3 linked regions of the Struthio camelus genome follow. The protein of the gene in region 2 interacts with the protein of the main gene of each other region in a pairwise test. Links are inferred from orthologs where the notes say so. Each region holds a gene or a part of one and is shown on either strand. Other genes may lie near its edges. The genes, in order: GRB2, EP300 and PPARA.

What was found.
Region 1: the proteins of EP300 (region 2) and GRB2 interact in a two-hybrid assay, tested with the Homo sapiens proteins (2 studies listed by BioGRID and IntAct). The link is inferred for Struthio camelus from reciprocal best matches to the Homo sapiens genes EP300 and GRB2.
Region 3: the proteins of EP300 (region 2) and PPARA interact in a two-hybrid assay, tested with the Homo sapiens proteins (3 studies listed by BioGRID). The link is inferred for Struthio camelus from reciprocal best matches to the Homo sapiens genes EP300 and PPARA.

What each region holds. Positions count from the first base shown.
Region 1 is NC_090960.1:8,334,759-8,342,722, forward strand, and holds the start of GRB2 (growth factor receptor-bound protein 2), read right to left. Parts: upstream 3,075-7,964; 5' UTR 2,990-3,074; intron 2,076-2,989; 5' UTR 1,893-2,075; intron 1,172-1,892; exon of another isoform or gene 1,036-1,171; intron 1-1,035. UniProt on the Homo sapiens protein: Non-enzymatic adapter protein that plays a pivotal role in precisely regulated signaling cascades from cell surface receptors to cellular responses, including signaling transduction and gene expression.
Region 2 is NC_090942.1:57,018,474-57,025,543, forward strand, and holds the start of EP300 (histone acetyltransferase p300), read right to left. Parts: upstream 3,068-7,070; 5' UTR 2,269-3,067; coding exon 2,175-2,268; intron 1-2,174. UniProt on the Homo sapiens protein: Functions as a histone acetyltransferase and regulates transcription via chromatin remodeling. Acetylates all four core histones in nucleosomes. Histone acetylation gives an epigenetic tag for transcriptional activation.
Region 3 is NC_090942.1:80,656,370-80,663,697, reverse strand, and holds the start of PPARA (peroxisome proliferator-activated receptor alpha), read right to left. Parts: upstream 3,053-7,328; 5' UTR 2,803-3,052; intron 2,606-2,802; exon of another isoform or gene 2,348-2,605; intron 2,255-2,347; exon of another isoform or gene 1,856-2,254; intron 1,772-1,855; exon of another isoform or gene 1,582-1,771; intron 1,369-1,581; exon of another isoform or gene 1,210-1,368; intron 1-1,209. UniProt on the Homo sapiens protein: Ligand-activated transcription factor. Key regulator of lipid metabolism. Activated by the endogenous ligand 1-palmitoyl-2-oleoyl-sn-glycerol-3-phosphocholine (16:0/18:1-GPC). Activated by oleylethanolamide, a naturally occurring lipid that regulates satiety.

The sequences.
Region 1 (7,964 bases), on a different chromosome or scaffold from region 2:
TCTGTATACATATACAGCTGAAACATGGAAAGTAGGCTGTCTCCAAGGACTACAGAGTACACTCCTAAAATGCTACATTCTTGTCCAAAACCTCATCCACAAGGAAAACCATGCAAGATTTGAATTCCTTGTGTTCTGTATTTTATTGCTGTAAAATTAAAGATAACCGTGTCAGGTTGTCATCAGTAGCTTAACACTAACAAACATCAGTTTTGCAGAGAAAAACCTCATGTGGAACCTGTGGCATCACAGCCTCTGCAGAGAGCTACGGGGACAGTAAGAGAATCAAGCCTGAGGGGGACACATCTCTCCAGTCAGCCTGTCTACTGTAATTCACACACAAAAAACCTCAAACCTCCGTACAAAGAGGCAAAGCAAGCCCTCTCTACCACACCCCTCCGATTTCCTCCCCAGACTCTGCAGCAGTGTAGATGTCTCTCCAAATCATTGGCTGAGTATGTTCGCTCCTACTGTGTGGCCTGGCTTCCTGTGCCTTTGGCATCCAGCTCGGGCCTTCACCTCACGACTCCTTAGAGGCCTCCCAAAGGAGCCTCCCGCCGCTCTACGACAAAAGTAGCTTTTCAGAGGGGGAAGCCTGCAACGGCCCTGTCAGGGAGCCCCCCTCCCTCACCCCCCACAGCACCACCCAGCCATGATCTGCCTCTGTCACAGCACCGGGGCCCCAGGCGGCGCTCAGCATCCCCCCCCCCCCCCCAAAAAAAAAAAAAAAAACAGATCCTCCATCCCTGGAGGACTGCATCCCCCCAGCACTGCTCCCCCTCCGCAGCAGCCGGGCAGAGACGGAGGGACAGAGTCGCCGCCGTGGCGGCAGTGTTCCTCCTGGCCGCCGCAGGGGCCGGGCGGCCGGCCCTCAGGGCGGGCCGCCCTCTCAGGTCCTCCTCAGAGCCAGCCCCGTCCTGCCGCCGGGGCGGATGCTCGGCTTCGCGCGCCACCCCGGCCTAACCAATCACCGCACCGCGTACGGGCGGCCGCGCGGGGTCTCACCAACCAGGCGCCGGCTTGTTGAGGGGGGCCCGAAGCGCCGCCTCGGGTCCCTCGCGCCCTGGCGGGGTGGGGGGAGGGTGCCAGTGACCCAGATGGCGGCCCCGGCGGCGCGGGGGGAGGCCCGGCGGGCGAGCGGCTGCCCCGCCGAGACGGCCCGGCGCGGCGGGTGAGTACAGGCCGGGCGGCGCGGCGCGGCGGGGCGAGGCCGGGCACCGACCCGCCGCGCAGCGGGGCCTGGCGTGTCGCCCCCACCCGGGTCGCCACGGCGGGGGAGGCCGGAGGCAGGGCCGGGCCAGGCCGCCCCCGGGCTCCCGCGGCGCCGTCGCCTCCGGCCGCCCCCGGCTCGGGGCGGGGAGACGCCGCGCACCCGGCTCGGGCTCTCCTGCCGCCCCTCGGCGGGGGCGGAGGCCGCCACGCTCCCCTCAACCCGGGGCACGCGTGGGTGCGGCTGCCCCTAGCCAGGGGGACGCGCAGCCAGGGCGTTTCGGCAGCTGTGGGGGCTACCGGGGCCCCGGCCAGTCTGCTTATTCGAGCCAGGCTCCTGCACACCACAGTATCTCCTCCCAGGAGGAAGTTGGATGGGAAGTCACCCCCCCGTGAGAGAAGTGCCCCCACTGCCACACACAAAAAACCCAAAGCAAGCAAGGGAAACTGAAGTAGACCTAACAGGAGTTTGCATAACACACTGAACTAGCTTTCACTGGCTCATTGCTGTCATGGCACGCTTCATACTGTACATGAAGGTTTCAGGGAAAATTCAAAATTCTGAATAAAGTGCCCTTAACCTGCTTACCTAGATCATTTACAAGCTTAGATGGCAGCCTGGGATAATGCCGCCATCTGTTAATACAGCCGGTTGTTTCATTTTGCTTCACTCTTGCTCCTACCTCCTTGCAGGCTTTTGATCAGCAGGCGTCTATGGCATTCTGCTTTGCCTCAGACTTCCGCTTGTTTTCCTCTCCAAAAGTTGGGATCTCTGTAGTTCCTGGATTATGTTATTACTGTTTGTCAGTTGTTCAGAAGCTTCCTCCTTTCAGGTTAATACAAGCCATTTATTGATAAGGAAAGGCCTAAAAAAAACCCCAGTTAAAAGTCCCATTACATACCGTACAAGGAATTTATCTTAGACAATCCTGTCTACCCAAAAGGTAGACAAAAAAGGAGGGAGAACCTGCCCACAGGTGTAGAGGGTGTTCTGGTTATGCATTTAAGTCTCAATCCACACAAAAAGACACTCATACTGTAAAAAAGTTTCTTCCAAATTAGTCTTATCAGTTACCAAGACAGCTGCAGATACCAGCCTAATGCATTCACCCATCTTCCTGAGGCAGCTGCCAAGTAATACATACTATTTTCTTTTTTTTTTGAGGGAAAGTTTTATAGCATGCTTTTCAAAAAAAGCTATTATACTACAACTGCTGTAGTAGAATAAGTTCATATTTGAACATACAGCTCATACACAGTGAAATACAATTGTGTAGTGCATAACATTTATGAAATACTTTAGGTTTTTCCAAAATTTAATTCTTTATGTAAACAAAGTGTTACACTTTGATGCCCACTGCACTCTGTTAAACTAAAGGGCTTGCTCAAGTATCATAGCAAAGCTTGAATAACCTGGCAAGCATAGTTGTTTTTCTTTCAAAAGAGATCTGCTTAATAGAAGCGTATAAGTACTTAGGCTATACTGGTTTTATATAAGATATCCTGTGCTCTGTGCAGTAGTAGCTTATATTTCTTTGTTCTCTTTTACCTGAGCACATCAAAAACCTTTGCATATACATGTTTCTTAACTGTGGCTTTTTAACAAACACATTATCAACATTTTTAATTAATGAGAAGGTTAAGATATTTGTACTTTTAGCCTAGGTCACAAAAATATATATATTAATACTACAAGTAGAACCAAGGAAACAACCCTTTTTCCTCCAATATGTTACATCTCAAACACATCAAGTCTCTATAACTTTGAGGACAGCCTTACCTCTGTTACATTCCTATCCAGACTCTGACCATGAGAAGCCAGAGCAAGCACTCCTGAGAACGAGTTGCTGTAAACAAAAGGACATCCCAGAAGCAGGGGGTGGGTTGTGAGGGCTTATATACCCCTGTGACTTGGAGGGGATTGGCCAGGAGCAGGGCTGGGGCCAAGAAGGTCTGGCCAAAAGACAGGTCCTTTTGTAGGGTTGGCCAGAGGGAAAGTCCTGCCACCTGGCCTGCAAGGAGCAGAGTTTGCTCTGGGTTGGTTGGATTTATCTGTGATTATATATGGGACCATGTGTACAGTAAATAGGGTACAGAAGTTGTTGATCACAAAGCTTTAACGAAACTTGTTGTGAGAATGGCAAAATACACGATCTACTGAACTAGTCAATGCCTTTCCTACATAACAGTTGCGCTTTGTTTTGAATGTATGTAGGAGCTTGATCTTACTAATGGCCTTCAGGTGCCGTGCCTCTTCTGGGGAACTCCTAGAGAGCACCAGCCCATCAGCACTGCATTTGTTAAATATCTCCAGGTGGCAAACACTGCTATAAGAGTGTTTCTGCCTACCTCTACTGTAAACAATTATGCTTATAACAGCCTTACTTATAAGCTGGAATTAGGAGGAAAAAGCTGCACTTTTATCTGTGGGCCTCTGTAGGTCAGCAAAAATTTCCTGATTTTCCAGGAGATCCTATACATGCAATTTGGGCTTTTAACAATTTTATTTTGGGCTGTTACCTTTTTGAGTTTTTCTGGTGTATCGGTACTTTTGTTAATAGACATAGTTATACAATCCTGGTTACCATAGTTACTAAGTCATGACGATGAATGACATCTGTCACTTCTGCAGTGAATTCTTCCAAACATCTGCTGTAAAATGTTTTAGTTCTCATTTAAGGCATCATCCCACAAAGCAGATGATGTCTCACCACCGCTGCAGAAGCTGGAGGGGCCCTGATGACATTCAGATTTGGGCCTTTTGTTGCATTTTTCCCTTCAAACCAGGCTGAATACATGTGGCTGTGGCGGGCTCAGAGGCTGTGAGAAGGAAACAAGTACCTGAAGCAGAAAAGATAAAAGCTATCTTTAATCCACAAGCTCTCTTTTTTTTTTTTTTTTCTTCCAAGAAATGAAAATGAGCACAGCAAATAACTTTCAGATTTATTATACCGTAATATGAAACAGTATTGGCCTCTGTGGAGACAGTAAGATAGATTAAAGTAGACTGATCATTGTTTTGATCATATCTGTAAAGTTACTTCTTAATTCACCAGAACAAAATTAAAACAAAAATAAATATGTTCTTTTAATTGTGTTACATCTGTTCTTTTAATTGTGTTGCATCCTGTTTTACCAATCATAATCTTGCAAGTAAACCTATGTTGTTACTGAGGGCTGCATACCTGAGATAGAAATGGGTGCACCAAAGCTATTTCTTACTCCCCTTCCTCCCTCCTTGTTGCCCAGTTTCTGTTTTAAGTCCCCACTGTCTTTTGGAACAACAGTCTGATGTGTGAGTCCTTCGCTGAAGAAAGAAGGAAGAAGTCAGAGCTTAATTTTCCTGGAAAACTCTCTGCATATAGGATTTGAATAAAAGCTAATATTACCCTAGAAAGGCATAATTGTCAATTGGAAGCCAAATTTTATATTCATCCGAAGTTTAATTCTGTTACTGATTCAAGATAGCACTCTCTTAATTCCTGTCATTTTAGCAAGAGAAATGAAGTCTCTCTGAAATACACTATGGAGTCTTCACAGCCACGAACAACTGAGGCATTTGACCACCAGTGAGTTGATAATACTTAGCACATACACAACCCTAATTCGGAGGGTCTCACTTATTTTACAGATACTAATGAATTTGCTTCACAGTGTCTCTGTGAAGCAGATATGTATATTCCTCCTGTAACACAAGAATATCGAGGCAGAGAAAGTATAGCTTGCCCCAAATTTGACAAGTTAGGTTCTTCACAGGCAGATGCTGAAGACAAAAGTGTAAGTGCCATTTCTCTTGCTGTAATTACTTTGTACTCTCAGTGGGTCTCAAGTCAATTGACAGTGTCACTTTATGCACCTTTGGAAGCCCATCTGTCTGCAAATGTGCCTATGCTGCAAATTATCAGGCAGACATCAGCTATTCGTGAGTAGCAGGACCGTATGGTTCTGCTGATATCAAAACAGTCAGCTCTAATCTAAGCCGTTCTTTGCAAGGCAGCTGCTTTTTCTGTTATTATCTGCTCCCCTGTGTTTCTATTTTGGGTGACAGATCAGACTTCTGTTCTTGAGGAATTCACTTTTGGCAGCAAGAGATGTTCAGACTCCCCATCATTTTTTATAGATTCATCCATGTTGGGAATTTTCAGTAAATAACATGAAAGTATCAGCGATGCACCACTTCATGGAAAACACTATCATTAAGTTGATTTTTTTTTCTTCCCAAAGACTTGGAGTGTGTGCTGCTTCTGAAACACAGTTTTCTTTCCAAGTGTCTATTGGTTGTTTAATTATCTAATCTTTCTTTTTTACTAATCATGTTATAAATTTTGTACATTAGGTACCATGCTATATAGTTTCCTGCTGAATTTCAGCACTGATATCTCATATTGATGTTGTGAGGTTTAGTGGGTTGTGGTGCTTTGAAATCCTTGGATGAAAGATCTGAAAGCATAGCATTTATTTATTATCTGTAGTTTCCATACGACAGTGTTATTCTAAAGATGATTAGGTATATGAATGTTTGAATAGACCCTTGCAAAGCTCTGCTTCTGATATTCAGAAGGATGCTTCAAACACTTGATAATCACATCAGGCTACGAGAAGTGCTCTTCCCTCAGAGCACTCCTGAGCAGAAGTGAGTTAAGGGTGATAGGAATATTTTTTTTAATTTGGAAAGATCTGGATTACTGAATGCTGGTTCTAATCGCCTGAATATGCTGAAATTTGAACGCCATATCAGCCAGTTCTAAATTTCATTGGCTTCTAGGCATCAATGTACAGCATCCTGAGGAGAATGGAGGGAAGACTGAGGAAAACTGGGTGCAGTCAGAGCCTATGGTGTCTGGTTAGAACAGCCACAGCTTCAAGCATCTCTGTCTGTGGCTTAACACAGCAGGCCCACTAGCATGTTCCCCCAAAGCAATCCCACTTAATTTCTGCCCTGCTGTCTGGCAGAGTTTAATGTGTTGACAGCGTGAGTGACTTACTGCCCAGGCAGACAGAAGGGAGTTAAAATAGCCTTGCTGTTGGGTAGGGGTGATGGGGAGATGCATGTGCGAGAGTGGGAATTAGAGGGATCCCTGAAATAGAGGGGAGGGGAGCACCCAAGGGCCTTGTAGTGGGTGGAGCAGATGAATGCAGGATTCTGCAGGTCTCTGCAGATCTGTGCATTGCCCGTTGCCTACAGAATTCATGAATTGCTTCAGCTCCTCGTTCTGTGAGGCTGTGTTTTCTGATTGTGCACAAGGTGTCTGTAGTGCAGATAGGTGATTTTAATTGGCATGGCATAGTTCTTGCAAATATTCTTGCAGGCTTTTTACTCTGATAGAGCCTGTATTTGGGGGATGGGGGGAAAGTAGGTACATTACATTTTAGATGGCTCCAGTAAGAAACCTAGTGCAGAAATTTAGGAAAGATTGTTTCTCATTGTAGCCAGTCTTTGCCTTTGGCTACAGTTGTGCTAATAATAGGATATCCTAACATACCTAGGACTAGCTTTGTTTTGAATTTTTGGCTCTTAATAAAAATCCTTTTAAAAGTGTAATTCTACTCTGAAAAATGAAACTTTTTGCTTGTTTTGTATATCCAGATTGGCACAGGAAAGACGTGGCTTCTTTGCTTTCTCTGTTTGAAATGTCTATAATCTAACTATTGTTCACACCTTAAATAGGGAAGATGAGAGAAACTGAGCTGCTTATGGGTTTCAGATCAGTTGGTTCAGACTTTGGAGAAGCCCTAAGCATGTATGATGATGAGGCAGTGCTGGATGTACCACTCGTTACTTTTACAAGCTGTTATTACCTTGTTCATTATAACAGCTTTTGAATTTCTCTTGGCAGGGAATATTCCCTCTCTGCAACCAGTCTTTTGTATGTCTAACACCCTTGTTGTATACACTGCTTCATAGCACTGAAGGACTTCAGGGTGGTGTTCCTAAACATGCAAATGATATGCCTTGAACTTTAAGGAGTGGTGTGTTTCACGTTCAAGATCACATTTCAGCTTGGTGTCTAAAACAGAATGTCACTCACTGCATTGCAATGAAGCCTCCTGCCCAGCTGTCTCCGTGCATGACCCCCTTCCCTCCAGCTACAGCCACCCACCACAGCTGATGATACAGTCTTCCTGGGATTAGCACAAACAGCTCAGGATGTTTTTTCTTTTTCTGCTTTTGTGACTTTGGCTTCCCAGTTACCCAGTCATGCCACTGATAGTTATGCCTTTAAAGTCCAGATACAGAGAAAAATTCAGGCACTTAATTTTTGCATATAAGTGAGAACAAGGTGCATAAATCCTTTGGTAGATCTGCAAATAATTTAGAAGAAGAATTATAGAGTTTTTTCTAGCTCATTTTTGGTCAGTGGCCATATTGTCCTTAAAAATCAGCTCCTTCTTACTTCCCCTTATGTTGAAGGGGGTCCTCAAGTTAAAGGCTCCAAGCTGCTGTGTGAAAGCATACAAAGGTGCATGTTCCTCCTTTGTACACCCAGCCCTCTTTGTCAGCTTTGCTCCAGTAGCTTTGATCCTCTCTTTGCATTTGCTAGTTGGCCAGGCAGGGAGATGAAGCAACTGAAAATAGCTTCATTCCCTTGGTGTGTGCACATTGACAGGGGTCACAGAACCGAAAACTAGGGCAGAGTCCAGACTTGTGGCTTATTTTATTGATAGGCCAGCCGGAAGGCAGCCAGAAAATGGCACTTGCAAGTGGTGGTTACTGTATTGCGAGCAGTTCTTTGCTAACCAGCAGTCTGAATACT
Region 2 (7,070 bases):
AAAAACACAGAAAGTGGCAGTGTGCTAAATCCAGGTAATAAATTGCAAACAAAGTGCACAAGAATGAGAACCCTTCAACAGTTCTTTGTAACATACATGAAATATTTGCACCATTAAAAACCTCTGGATAGCCAGCAGGTGATGACAATCTCAACAACTTCAAAAAAATGTATCCCGTTTTGCACACTACAATGTCATATCTGAATTCCTTTGAATTTGTCCAATAATCCCTAGTGTGTTTCACCATAAATATAAAAAGATCGCCAATTAAACTGTCCAGTAGACTAACAATTAAAAGAAACTAAATATTCTGAGAAAATCTGCACCTCTTACACTGAAATAAATCCACTTTACACAAATCTTATCTGATCGCAAATGCCTTAACTTTGATACTTGTATTCATCTAACAACCCTCCAACTTTCCTACTTTCAAGCATCAGGGCTTCTCTCACAAAACCCATCTTTTATTTAGCCACCTACACAGAGCAAGGCCAACCCTGTCAAGAGAAAGAATGAAAACGATTACTACTGAATTAAGTACTGCTTTCCAAGTCTAGTGTAAAAAAACCTCCACAACTAGCTGTAGCTGAAGAGCTCCTCCAACCCTCTCCTACTCTCTTACCAGAGACCTGTTGATATCAAGACTAGTCATCTGCTCCAGTTACAACACAAAACTGCCTATAACTAAAATGCTCTGAAAGTTACACATAAACTTTTTTTTTTTTAAAACTAATGTGTCATTCACCAAGAATAAAGAGAAGGCAAAAATCAAAATTTTTAAGATGATTCAAACTGGAATCACACCCCGTGCTGAGCCAAAAACTGGGTATTTAAACCTCCTGTTTACTGTCAAACGATCAGCTTTTTTTTTTTTTAACTCTTCCTTTTCTTCACAGATCTAACTGCAGTGACTAAGACTGGTGGCACCAGGAACGCCATCTCTCATCAGATTCTGCAGAAGGCAGCCTCCTCCAACTCCCATAGGCTAAGATGATCTAAAGTGAGTTTAAGGAAACTCCTGTGGGATAGGTAACCAAGTACTTTCAGAGCAAAATGACACTAAATGCTCATCTGCTTCACAAGAAGCATTAAAAAGCAGAGCAGCCCTTTGTTACCTCCCTCTCCCTTCCCAGTACAACCAGTTCATGTTTGCTAGGGATGGGGACACCGGAGACTTCCAGCCTCTAGCTTGACTCCACAGCAACTCTGGAGTTTCCACAGAGCAGATTATTCCTCCCTACTAAAACATCACCAAAGATCTTTGCAGGATTGCAGAGAAGCCCCTTTATCTTCCCAACCCATAAGTCTACAGGGGAATTTCAGACATTTTGCTCTCGCAGCAAAGAAATGGGAGATGCAGAATGAATTGCACTCCATATTGGTTCTTAATGCAAATAAGGTGAAATAATATTTTGTTTCTACAATGCTAAGGCTCTTGATAAGCCTTAAGCCCCAAACTTGCAATCTGGATTTTGTTTTTAGTTGTTGTTTTTTTCCTTAAATCGATAGTCTATTTGAAATAAAAAACAGGTTTTTTTTTTTTTTTTTTAGAAATCCTTGTGCAAGGAAGAGTAAGAAGGATTGTAAAAAGTAAATCAAATAACCGGAGTGCCTGTTAAGAGGGTAAAAGAAAAAGAATAGAGAAATAAATCTCATGTTTCTAAACGAGTTATAAAAACACCGTACATACAGGCAAAATAAAATAAGAAACAGGCATGTATTTGTGTGTGTGTGTATATGCAAACATACACACAGAAATCGACAATAAAGTGTACAAAAGCATCATTGTAAGCAATATTTCATATTTCTGCAACTGGAATTAAATGCATATGCTTAACGAGGAGCTCTGAAATAATTACTATTATGAAAGACAAGAAAATGACAAACTGTTAATTCTTATCTGTGACTGATCAAAAGCACAATAAACTGAACAGCTTTGCTTTCAATCACTTCCAAAAAATAAAAGGGCTGAAATAGCCGAACACCCTCCTCCTACGGCATTAACACAAATAAGAGCAAAAAGAAAGAAAAAGGGAGAAATCACAGACAGAGAGGAGAAAGGAAGGAACAAGTTAAAGAAGCAAAAGGGAGGAGGCGATTTAGGCAAGAGAGGAGAGAAAAGGGCAGTAATTTGTGGCACCAAGAGGCTGAGAGCCCGGGCCCCCGAGACTGACCTGTGCCGTCGCTGGCGGACACGGAGAGCGCCGGTGAGGAGAGTTTAGGCCGCTTGGCTGAAGGCGGGCCCGGCTCCACCACATTCTCGGCCATTTTTAATTCTTTTTTAGACAATCACTCAGAGTAAAGAGACCGGGGGAGGGGGGGGGCAAAACCTTCACCTTCTTCCCAGGCCCCGAGTCAGCTGAAGAACAACAATAACGACGAGAGCGAGCGAGAAGGATCTGCCGGAGGAGGGGGCCAAGTTCCCCTTTTTCTGCCCCTCGGGCTCGGGCTCCGGGAGGGCGGCAGCGGAGAAGCGGGGAGAAGGTGGGGAGCAGCGAGGGGAAGAGGCCTCTTCCCCCAGGCGAAAGGGCAGAGCGAAGATGGGAAGAGCTGGTAAAGCCCCCGCCAAAAAAAAAAAAAAAAGAAAAAAAGGAGGGGGGGGGGAGAAAGAGGCTGGTGGGTTTTTAGTAAAATTAATCCCGGCTGTTGTGCTGCTGTTGCTTCCGCGCCGCCGCCACCATCATCATCTTCATCCTTCGGGGGGTCTCCTCCTCTTGCTGCCTCCTCACCGCCGTCATCAGCCTCTTCCTCCTCGGCGCCGTCCTCCTCCTCCTCATCGCCACAAGGAGGCGGGCGAAGGAGGGGAGAGGAGGAGGAAAAAAGAAAAAAAGATCACCGTCCTCTAGCAGCGGCTCCTTCCCCCTCCAACACCACCCTGCAAAAAAATACCCACCGCCAGCGACAGGGCTGGGGGGGAGGAGGAGGCGAAAGAGGCCGAGCGTGCGCGGGGTCCCCAGCTCCCCTCGCTTCTTCCTCGCCAGTCACTAATGGCTGCAGAAAGGGGAGCTGTAAGGATGAGGAGGGTGAGGATAAGTCCCAGGAGTCTCCGCTTCACATCTTGTTGTGCAGGGAAGAAGGCGGGGTTGTTGTCCTGATGGAGGCAGCACCGATCGCGGGATGGGAAGGTGGGGGGCGGGTTTCAACACCCTCTCTGCCCCCCCTCCCTTCTTCTCTTCTTTCCCCTTCCTCTTTCTCTCGCTCTCAGTAGCAGGGTGCCCCCCCCTCCAGCGCAGGCAGAGGGGGCCGATCCCACAGCAGCAGCAACAGCGGCGGCAGGAGCAGGAGGAGGAGGAGGAGGAGGCAGCAGGAGCAGCAGCCGGCCCCTCCCCCCCCTCTGCCTACCTTCCCCCCTCCCGGGTGCCTGAGGATGGTGGCGAGCGCTGGCTCCGGGCAGGGAGGGGGCTGCCGCGGAGGCAGGGGGCGGCGGGCGCAAAAGCGAGGGCGAAAAAGCCTCGTCCGCTGCCGGGGCGCGGCGGGGACTCCCTCCCGGCCGCTGCGAGGGTGGGGAAGGAAGCGAAGAGCTTGGTAGGTGAGGGGGGGGGAGGAGGGCGGGGAAGAGAGGGGGAAGAAGCCGGTCAGCGAGAGAGAGAGATTAAAATTAAAATAATAAAAGAAAACCGGGGCTGGGGGAGGGCGGGGGGCTCGCCCCGGGAGGGGGAGGGGGTCCTCGGCGCTCCCCGGCGGCGGGGGGGGGGGGCTGGGGCGGGACGGCGCTGGGAGCGCGGGGGCCGAGCGCAGGCTCCCTACTGCCCCTGCCTGGCGCTCGGCGGCGGCCGCTCCTGTGGCGTGTGCGGCGGGGCGGGCAGAAGCGGGGGGCGCAAGGGAGAAGGAAAGGCAGAGAGGAAAGGGGAAAGAAATCTTAAAAAATAAAAAAAAAAAAAGGAGGGGGGAGGAAAGAAAAAGAGATAAAGAGAGAGGAGGGGCAGGCTAGCGGAGGGGGGGGGGAGGCCGGGCGGGCGTCTCAGCTTCTCTCTTCTCTCCCCGTCCCCTGGCCGGGCCCCTGGGTCTCTCTGCGCTGCCCTCCCCCTGGCTCGCCCCGTCCGGCTCGGTCTCTCGCTCCCTCCCTCAGTCGCTCACACACAAACAAAATGGCGGCTGTTGTTTCTTCACTCTCCCGAGTCCTCAGAGGGGAAGCGAGCAGCGGTGGCGGCGGCCGGAAATGAGCCAAAGGGGGGGGGGAGGGAGAGAGAGAAAAGGGGGCGGGGCCAGGCTTGGGGGCGGGGCCCGGCGGCGCTGGCGCACACAATGGAACGCGGGGGGCTTGCGTGCTGCGGGAGGGAGGGGGAACCCCGGAGCGGCGGCGGCCCGTCACGAGACCGCGGCCAGCCTATCAGCGCCCGCTATTCGCCGGGCGCTTCCGCAAACTCCCTTCACTCCGCCCCTTAAAGGCAACGCGTTAAGGGAAGGGGGGGAGGAAGGAAGGAGGAAGCTTCTTCTATCTTCCTCCTTCCCCCGCCCCTGTTTTGTGTCGGCCAAAAAGTGCGCGGCGGCGGCGGCGGCGGCTCGGGGCAGGCCGGCCGGCTGTGGCAGGGCGGCCCTGCCAGGCCTCTTCTCGCCGAGTCTGCCCCGCAAAAAAGGGGCCTGGCGAGCAGTGAATCCCCAAGATACCTGTTCTCCCTTTTTCAATAAACTTCCCCCCTCCCCCCCCCAGTGACCGGAGCTACGTCAACATCACATAAAACCGGAGTTTCTGGCCAAAAGCGATGCCTAGATGAAAGGAAACGGGGGGTGGGGGGGGGTGAAGGAGCGGCCTGAAAGGGCGCCGGCTCCCCTGGGGCTCGGTGCGAGGCCGCTCCTGGGCTGTGGGCAGTGGTAGGTAACGTTGACGCGCTCCTCGATAACCGTCGCCGAGCCATTTTAGAGCTTAGTGGGGATTACGGGCTGGCCAGGAGTTTCTCAAGTCTTTAAGCCCTCATCAGCCATCATTAGCGAGGAAATACCCCTTCCTAGCCTTTTTTTTTGTTTGGGGGGGGTGTTTGGGCTTCCCCCCCCCCCCGCCCCGGTTTTACACCCTTCTGCGACAAGAACGGGAAGGGGAGGCAGGCCTGCCTATGTTTTTAATGGGAAAAACCGCGATTTCATGTGAGCGGGGTGGGCCGTTTGGGAGGAACCAGCGCCCTGCGCATCAGCTCCTGCGAACCGATTCCCCTTCGCCTCCCGAACGCTGACTTCTTTTTTGCGATTTTTGTGTTTTTTTTTTTTCCTAAAATACACGAACTGGGGAGGAGGTTAGAGGTTGTTTTATCCCCTCGTCTTGTTCCTCGCTGTGCAAGATTCGGGAGGCCTTTAAGGCAGGGAGTGCTCAGTCCTTCCCCCTCTCCCCCCCTTTTTTTTTTTTTCTTACCACCCACACTCAGAATTGAGTTTTCTGCCATTCTGCCTGTAAGACCTGTACCAGGTGTTTGGGCAAGAGCCTATTACAAGCAACAGCATAAACACCACAGGAGAGGAGAGGGCGAGAAGGAAGGAGTAGAGATTCGCAGCCCTCTAACAGTTACCCACCAGCTTCCCGCGCACATACTCACTCCCACGCTTGAGTTTCCCTTGTTTCGGCTTTATTTCGGGCAAGGTGGTTGTGGTTGTTGTCTTCCCCCCCGGCACAAAAGGGGAAAAAACGCGAAGCGGGTTACGCTCAAGCTGCTCCGAAAGGTTCTGCGTGTCTTCTCCTCGGCGAAAAGTCTCGGAGACATAGGCAGGGGCGCAAATCTGTCCGTTTGAGAAGAGAGCTGGAGGGTGCCTTGCAAGAACGACTAAGTAACAGCCTCACCTTAGAAACTACGCACGGTTCTCACAGGTTTTCCACCTGTTATGGCTACTAACGCTCTCAGAAATATTTCAGAGTTACAGAAGTCTTGTATTACCTCAATTTATTTCGCCAGATTGACTCTTTCCCTTGCTTGCGAAGCGCTTTTTTTTTTAAACACAGCTGAGATTAATTTTAACTGTTTTTAAAGTCTCCTTAGAATTAAAAGTTGACTCAAATCAGTCTATATAAGGTTTTCAGACTCTCTAGAGGCCCTTAATGCGTACTTCAATAAGGAATTAGTGCCAGCTTTATAAAGACACCAAGGTGCACATAAACACCTAAATACTTTTAAAAGTCTGGTCCTTACTAAACAACAAGCTTGGAGCAAAGCAGATGTTTCAAATAAAAGTTTTGTGACACTAGTTCCTATCTAGAGACTTGATCCTACCAATAGTTGCATGTGTGCTTAGTTTTATTTAGCACATAGTTCCACTGAAATCTCACTGTACTACTCACCATAGTAAAACCAAGCACATGTGTGCTTGCAGGATCACAACCTGAGAAATAAAAGTTAAAGGACTGAGTAGTGAGTTGTTACTCCAGAGGGTATCATGTGGATCAGTTAGTTGTTTAGCTAAGTAACAGTGAAAGCTGAAAAAGAAAAACAAAATAAAACCTTTTTTGTGCACCTTCCCTTCTGCTCTGGCTATCTATCTATTTATCCTTGGAGTGAGTTCAGTGAAGGTAGCATCTAGCCTATCTGAACCGTGGAAAACACACACCCTTTGCTGAATGCTACCCAAACAACATCTATATCCTTAATATGAGCTATGAATGTAAGTAATTAACTGATATATTAATACAATACATCTGCCTTACTAGTTCCACGACCAGAAGAATACCTTAATTCTTTATATATCAGGAAGTCATATTCAGTTGGCTTTCCACATTAGAGACTTAAACGTAAGCTGAAATATGAGGAATATAAATTAAAAAGTAGCAGGATGAGATGCTACTTGCGGTTTCTGAGAAAGAAAGCCACTCTAAAGAGAAAAGGAGGAAAAAAAAAAGGAAAACCTAGGAAGAGAGGGTCAAGGAAAAAACAGGAAAAAGATTTCAGCACCTATTGATTTTTGCTAAATACACTGAGGTCTTCTTTAATGAACCTCAATACATATGCACACAACCAGCTGCTTCTAAGTGCTCCCTGTCAAAATAATAACATGCATTGTTACTGGAAAATCATAATAAAACATAAAGCACACTAAGAAGCAAATACATATGCCTATATGAACAAGCAGGAAAGGACTGAACAGTTAAAAAG
Region 3 (7,328 bases), about 24 Mb from region 2:
ACTGAAATGCAAGGGAGAAAAATACAAGTTTTCATGACGTACAAGATCATAATAGGTAATCAAAACTCCCTAGGCCACTTGATTATAGAGGATGAGATTCAATATAAAGCATCAGGAGATTGATAAGAACTTTTTTTTGGACGATGTCAAGTGCTCCTTCCATACACGGAAAAAGAAAAAGAGCCTGCTGTCTACACAGTTCTACAAACGTCTGATAAGGTCAGTTCACACACTCATCCTTCCGAAATACATTGTGCTACTTAAATCCAAAAAGTTGCCATTAAAAGTAACTAGCAGCCAAAGGCTGTTTGATAGCTCACGGGAAATAACAAAATTATGATACTGGTTTAGCTCTGAGTGGACTTGTGACCACATCACAGGAACCACCACTGCTGTCAGTTTCAGTATGAGAGCAGGTATCCTCAGTATTAACATAGCGGTTCAAAATTTGAAAAGGATTGACTTTGCTGCCTGGAAAAAAAAAGCAAGTTTCAGCCCGATATTTAGTGTTAGATACTTATAAGAAAGTTTGTTCGTGTTCTACAATACAAGAACAGGTTGATGAAACCTTTGCTTCCCAGCAAAACTTATGCAACTTCTTCATGTGTGCAGTACTTCTATGACATCCAATGCCACAGAAGTGTCAGACATCATTATTTCAAATAATCCTGTCCTCACACATCTTCCATTTGAGAGCTTAGAAATAGCTACTCACACCAGTGAGATGGGGCTAATCTTAATATGAATAGACAAGGCCATTTCCAACTTAAAAACAAGACCTTTTAACACTTCTTTCCATTTCTATGTGAATGCTATCTTTTCCACTCTTTCAGAAAACAAGTGGACAGGCCTATAGGGACAATCAAGAACACGTTTTTCTTGTCAAACCACAAAAACAAATCTAGGGGGAGCTGCCACTGACCCACTCCTCCGTCCAAGGATAAATCCGGCCAATTGCATGGTAAAAGCACAACCTGTCTGAAGGATAACCTCCAAACACCTTATCTTCCATCCGGCGCATATGTTGCTTTCTCAAACTAGGTAAGGACAATTTATATGTGCTGTGTTCAGGAGATACTGCAACAGCAAAAAAGCACTTTTTAAAAGACAGGACTTCTCTTTCTCTCCCTCTCTCTCTTCCCCTTCCCCCAACACCCTGAAGTCTCCCCATAAAGTTTCCCAGATTGCTCTTTAGCCATAAACACTAACCTCTGCCAGGGCTGGTTCCTGCTGGTTCTTTAACCCCTGTGACCTCGGGGCGCCTCCCACCGCGGCTCCCCACACAGGCAAAGCGGAGGCGTGAAGCCCGAGCGCAGCAACAGTAATGGCTAAAGCATCTCCCCAAACCAGCTAACTCTCTCTCCTCGCCTTTGCCACCGCCGCCACCACGGGTTTGCAGAACGTTTCAAAACACAACGACCAAAAAAAAAAAAGGGGGGGGGGAGGGAAGGAAGACCAAGTCGTTAGCTCAACTGCCGCCGTTTTAGCGAGACAGAGACCCCGCTCCCACTGCCCGTGCCCCCTCCCCGCCGAAGCCCAAGCGAGGGACGCAGGCAGGCTCTGCGCTGCCGACGCTAATACCGTGCATTACTGCCGGCCGGCGGGCAGGCGGCTCGGCGCTGCTGCCCGCAGACGCCGGCGGCCCATGAGCGGAGCGGGGCAGGGCAGGGCCAGGCCGGGTCGGGTCGGCGCCGCCGCGTCCCCGGCCGCAATCCGCCGCGGGAGGCGCGCAGGGCTCGGCTCGGCTCGGCTCGCCCGCGCCAACCGCCGCGGCCAGCGCGGGCGCACCCCCTCGCCGCCGGCGGCCGCCCAGCGCGCACACCCCAACGGGGCAGGGAGGGGGGGGCAGAAGTACCCCAATCCCGAGTCTGACTGACGCGGGGCGGCAGGGTGACAGGTACCGGAAGTGAGGTCGCGGCACACACCTCCCACAATGGCCGCCTGCTATTGGCTCCGCGGGGAGAAACCTGTGGAGGGGGGAGGAGGGCGGAGGCCTCCGCGCGCCCCCCGCACCCCACCCCCCGCCGCCGTGACCCCCCACCCCCCACCCCGCGGGAGACTCACCCGGCGATGAGCTGAAACCAAAAAACGAAGAAATAAGAGGGAAAAGCCCAACGGGAAAACGCGCCCGGGGCAGCCCGGCGGGTACGGTCCCGTGCCGCCCTCGCCGCCAGCGCACCGCGGTCGCCCGCGGTAACGGCCGCCCGCGCCGCCCCTCAGGGCCCCGGCGGCGACGCTCACCGCCCCCCGGAGCGCGGGGCGGGGGGAGGAGGGGGGAAGCCGAGCCCGGCCCGCCCGCAAGCTTCGGTCAAGGGCAAAGAAAACGCGAGAGAGTCAAGAGACAAACCGGCGCTGGCTGAGCGGGCGAAGGCATCTGCCCGGGAACAAAGTCTGGGCTGGCTCTGCCTGCCTCTTATCCGCCCGCCGAGCTATTTGCGGAGCGCGGCGGCCAGGTCGCGGCGCTCACGTGAAGGAGCGGCGCACGCAGCGCTGCCCGGTCACACGCAGAGGTAGCGGGGCCGGGGCCGGGGCCGGCGCCTCATCCCCGGTCACGCGTGAGGCGAGCGCCCAGCGCCTGCCCGCCGGTCCCCTCCCTCCTCCCCCCACCCCTCCGCCGCCACGCCGCGCGCTGGCCCCGGCGGCCGTTGGTCCCCGGCGGCCGTTGGTCCCCGCCGCGCAGCGGGCGCTCGCGGGGGACGGGGGCTCCCCAGGGCTCACCGCCCCGGCACGGCTCGGCCCGCCGCGGGCCGGCAGGGCGCTGACATTGCCCGGGCACCTATGTGTTTTTTTTTTTTTAAAAACCTGTGGCGCGGGAGGGTCCGCTGTTGGTGGGGAGGTCGAGCCGCCGACCCAGCTCCGTCCCGAGTCCGGGCCGCTTGCACTGGAAAAGCTGGGGCTCGCCTTTGATGCGGAGCACCGTCAGGAAACGGGGTACCACCGGGTTGGGTGTGCTGCCTGGGGCACAGCAGCAGCGGCCCGGGCGGCTCGGCGTTACAGGCTGACAGGGCGGCCCACTCCAGCGGCATCCTCCTGACCCACGCGCCGGATGGAGGCTGCTGGCTACCTGCAGCTGTTTTTTTTTTTTTTAAGGGGTATTATTTAGTTTAGAAAGTTATTACAGGGAACAGCTACCAAAAAACAAACACACACACACACACACACACAAAACCCCTAGAAAACAACACACACACCCACAAAACACAAAATCCTCCACAAAACACAAAATCCTGAAGAAAAATTGTCTGTACATGACTGATTTCTTCAGTCTCTCAGGGACTGAAGGTCTTCAAAAGGCACCCAAAAGTATAAATACATTGTTTTTAAAAGATAATCCTTTTTTTTCTTTCTTTTTAACAGAAATTTCTACTCTTTGACTGCTTCATGGATATCACATTTCTTGATTATCCTCCTGGCCATCATCAATTTTTTAATTGCATTTTTACTTTTATTTTATCATTCCATTTGAAAGAAAAGGCACCTTATTGTTGACTAGATCAGTCTTTACGTGGATGCCAATACGAGAAAACATGACCTATTTCAGATGTTTCTGATATGAACCTCTTCTATGCCTAGCAAGCCTACACACATAGGTTTTGCTTATTTTTACCCTTTCACAGAATCATAGTTTGTGGCCATTCAGAAGGGAGACACATAGGACCAGAAAGGAAGAAAAGGAAACTCTGTCCTGGAAACTCAGTCTGTACTACTGCAAGCATCATATTTAATTCCATAAATTTCTCAACCTTGAGCTCAAACACACAGATCTGCACATTAGAGCGTTCAATGTAGAATCATCAGTAATGACAGAAGATGAAAAACATCCAGAAAGCATATCTCAGTATAGATCAATAAAACATAGTATCAACAGCAGAAAATAGAAGCTAACGAAAGCCCTTATTTACAGTAATTCAAGTTTCTTTCCAAAATATTTCAAAATGCTATATTGGCTCTGGTAACAAGCTGACTTCTACTGATTAGTAGTGCTGCTCCAATTTCTACCCCAAGGCAGGCCAACACCCAATGCCACAAGCATTCAGCTGCTTTAAAAAGTTAACGTCCAAGTTTACACCTACATATCCCACCCCACAGACGATGTGTAATACAGCTCAGCCAGCAACAAGGATCAGGGCCTATTTCCATAAAAGATGTTATCCGAGCAGGTGTGCTTTTCATTCCGTTCGGTTTTATTTCTTTTCTTGTTTTTATTTTATTTTTCCTGAAAATATACACAAACAGAAAGAATACAGTTAAAAAACATATATATAATGTTTTAATTTGCATGTGTAATCAGCCCTTAAAGATGTTTCCCCCTTGCTTTGTCAAGGAAGCTGTGGAGAGCACAAACACTTTCCTTTGATTTCCGTATTGAACTTTTGGACGAGATTTAGGTGGTCATTTTGCATACATACTTCTACTGTTGTTACCAAAGATGGCATTGTACGAACACTATAGTGAAATTCCCGGGCGGGGGGACCCCCCCCCCCCCCCACACACACACACTTAGCAAGGTTGTGGGCTTTTGCCATTGGAAGTTACAAATTTGAGAGATCTACCACGGTCGGGACTTAGTCATTTCTAGTGAGAACACCTCCACACTGTGGGCTTTTTCCTAGCTAAAGAGATCAGCTCTCTTTTTGAGGCTCAAATAGACATTTCATATACCTCGCCCAGGGTCACACAGTAACACTAAATTAACCCAAAATGCAGTAAAAATACAAAAATAATTTTTTGTGATTTAGAATGAGTTGTGGGCTGTTTCCTGTTTATAAGCTATAGATTACCCATCCCACACTACCTGATAACCAGACTCTTAACAACCTATGTCTCCAGCAGAATCAGCTAAGGTGACTGTGTTATCCAAGACCTGGAGAGGAAGTTTGTTAAGTCCTATTTTGGAACTGTTTTCTCTTAAACAAGTTACATAAATTTTGTCCATAAATATGGCTGGTGTTGCAGAAAATACCTATAATAAAGATGGAAAACTTATCTCACATTTAACAGCTTTAGTCAAGAGACCATACTGAATCCTTTTGTACATAAAGCCCTTTTAAAATGTAGATTATTGATTTGATTGCATAAATTCATATCACAGTTCAGATCTTAATAACACACTAAGTATCATAAACATCCATTAGCTATTTAAATGTGCCAACTTTTAGAAATCTGAAATTAGGTTGCTTACTAGGCTTTTAGATGAAATAAGCTTTAATTAGTGTTCTATTCTGTTAATATGCACTAATCATATTAATATTGCTTAATAGATTGACAGTTGTGAAACAGGCAGACAGACTTATGCAGTAGCTGATTTTCCATCTTTCCAGTATCCAGCTGGTTTTGTCATAGATCTTAACAGTGACAAGTAGCATTTCTGTAATAAAATGGGGTGGGGTTTTTTTTTTGCAAGTTTTAATCAAAATATACTGAATATTGTAACATTTATGACTGTAGAAGTAGATTAACAGTTCAATTCAGGACAAGGCACAAACTCATTCATAAGTTTGGAAAATGGACTATAACAGCAAAAATTCGCTATGCTTTCACCACCTCCTCCAACTACTGGCAAAATGCAGGAAGTGGGCTGACCCTGCGTTCAAATATTTGCTGTGGTTTCTCCTGCTGATCTGATGATAGGAATTTTAACAGACAATGTGCCTCATTTTTGCTGTGTCATCATGAAGGACCTTCCTAACAAAGTCATTATTTTAAGTAAAATAGATCCTTCCCATATAAGTATATACTTCAGCAGCAACTGTAGAGACCAGACATAGTACCCAGCATTTTATAAGCTGAAATGCCATATATTTGGTCCTGTTTCTCTTTTTTTGACTGCTGAAGTTTTAATGAACTGACATTTATTTACTGAAGTAAAATTACTTTAATTTTATCACATTCTTATTCTTCAAAGAATTTAAGTGGCCAGACTGTCACAACAGAACAAGTTTTATGAATAGACGTCATTAACGGAAGCATATAGAAAACACCAGAGCGTTATTTAAGACTTTTTGTGCATGCTGAATCCTGCACATTTGTGATTGGTCAAAATAATTTGAATTCAAAGGCTCCAGGTAATAATGAACGGAAGTAGATTATATTTGATTTATTTCAGTTAATATGTGAGTTACTTGCAAACACAGTATTTTTTATTGTTGTTTTTGTTATTACTGTTAAAAAAATAGCTCTCCCTCTCCAAATCAACCCCCTTAAAAACACCCAGACTGGTGAAGCAGAGGAGACCGGTGAGATCTATGTACCCTGACCCTCCTTTATGCCTACAGTTCAGTCCTTGTGTAGCAGCAGTTTTCTTCGGGAAACTCCTGCACTGCTTCATTTTGTTGTTCTGGAGCAAGCTGGCTTTAAGGTTTGGTTTTAGGTACATGTCTCTATGTTGGATTAGACCAAAGTTCTAAGACTAAGAGTGATAAATGAAAACATTTTAAGATAAATTAGATCAGGCTCATCTGCCTCATTTCGACATGACAGGTTATGGATAGAACCAGGATTCAGGTTATACATTTACACAAGTCTATTTTGCCACAAAATTATCTCAATATCAGATTTTTTTTAAATCTATGTCAAGATTTCATTTTCCATCAAAATAAGTGATTAAAGTCGTTACTTGTATTTCACTTTCATAAGAGATGTTTACCATGCCATTTCATCAGTGTAAGATATGGATTCAATCATTCAGATCATTTTTATCCATCAGAAATATCCTGTCTGGAAATGGCATTACTCATTACTCTCTACTTACTAGAGAAATAACTCATTATCTGTCAGAGTATCAAGATCAAACATTCCAGATGTCAATCCCCCTCTTCCTGTGGCAAGAAGAGTAAGAACAGTTGTATATAAGATGATGGTGCTTTAAACTTATCAATTAACCCTTCATAGCCCACAATGTGTAGAATTTCTCTGATAACTTATATGCTTTTTATGCTGGTACATTGGCAGCAATGATGAGAACTGTTAGATTAAATTTTTCTTAATGTGATCAGGCTCTCCACCCATCATTACATCTTTTTCACTTCTCCATTTCAATTAAAAAGTATTCTTCTAAGGAAAAACTGCTACTGGTGAACAAGCACCTTTCTTACACTGATCGAGGAAGTACACATTGAGAGTAAATTAAAGGAGATGGAGAAAACAGTACCCCCTCCACACTCTTTCTGAAGGCGAGCCCACACTTGAACCTTCTGCAGGACATCAAGGAACTGTAGGGGAATCTTTCAAATGTGAAAATAGTTTACGGAGTAAGTAATTACTCTTATGATCGAACTGTACTGTTCAATTCCTCCCTCTCTTCTCATCTGAATGGTTTCTTCCTCCAG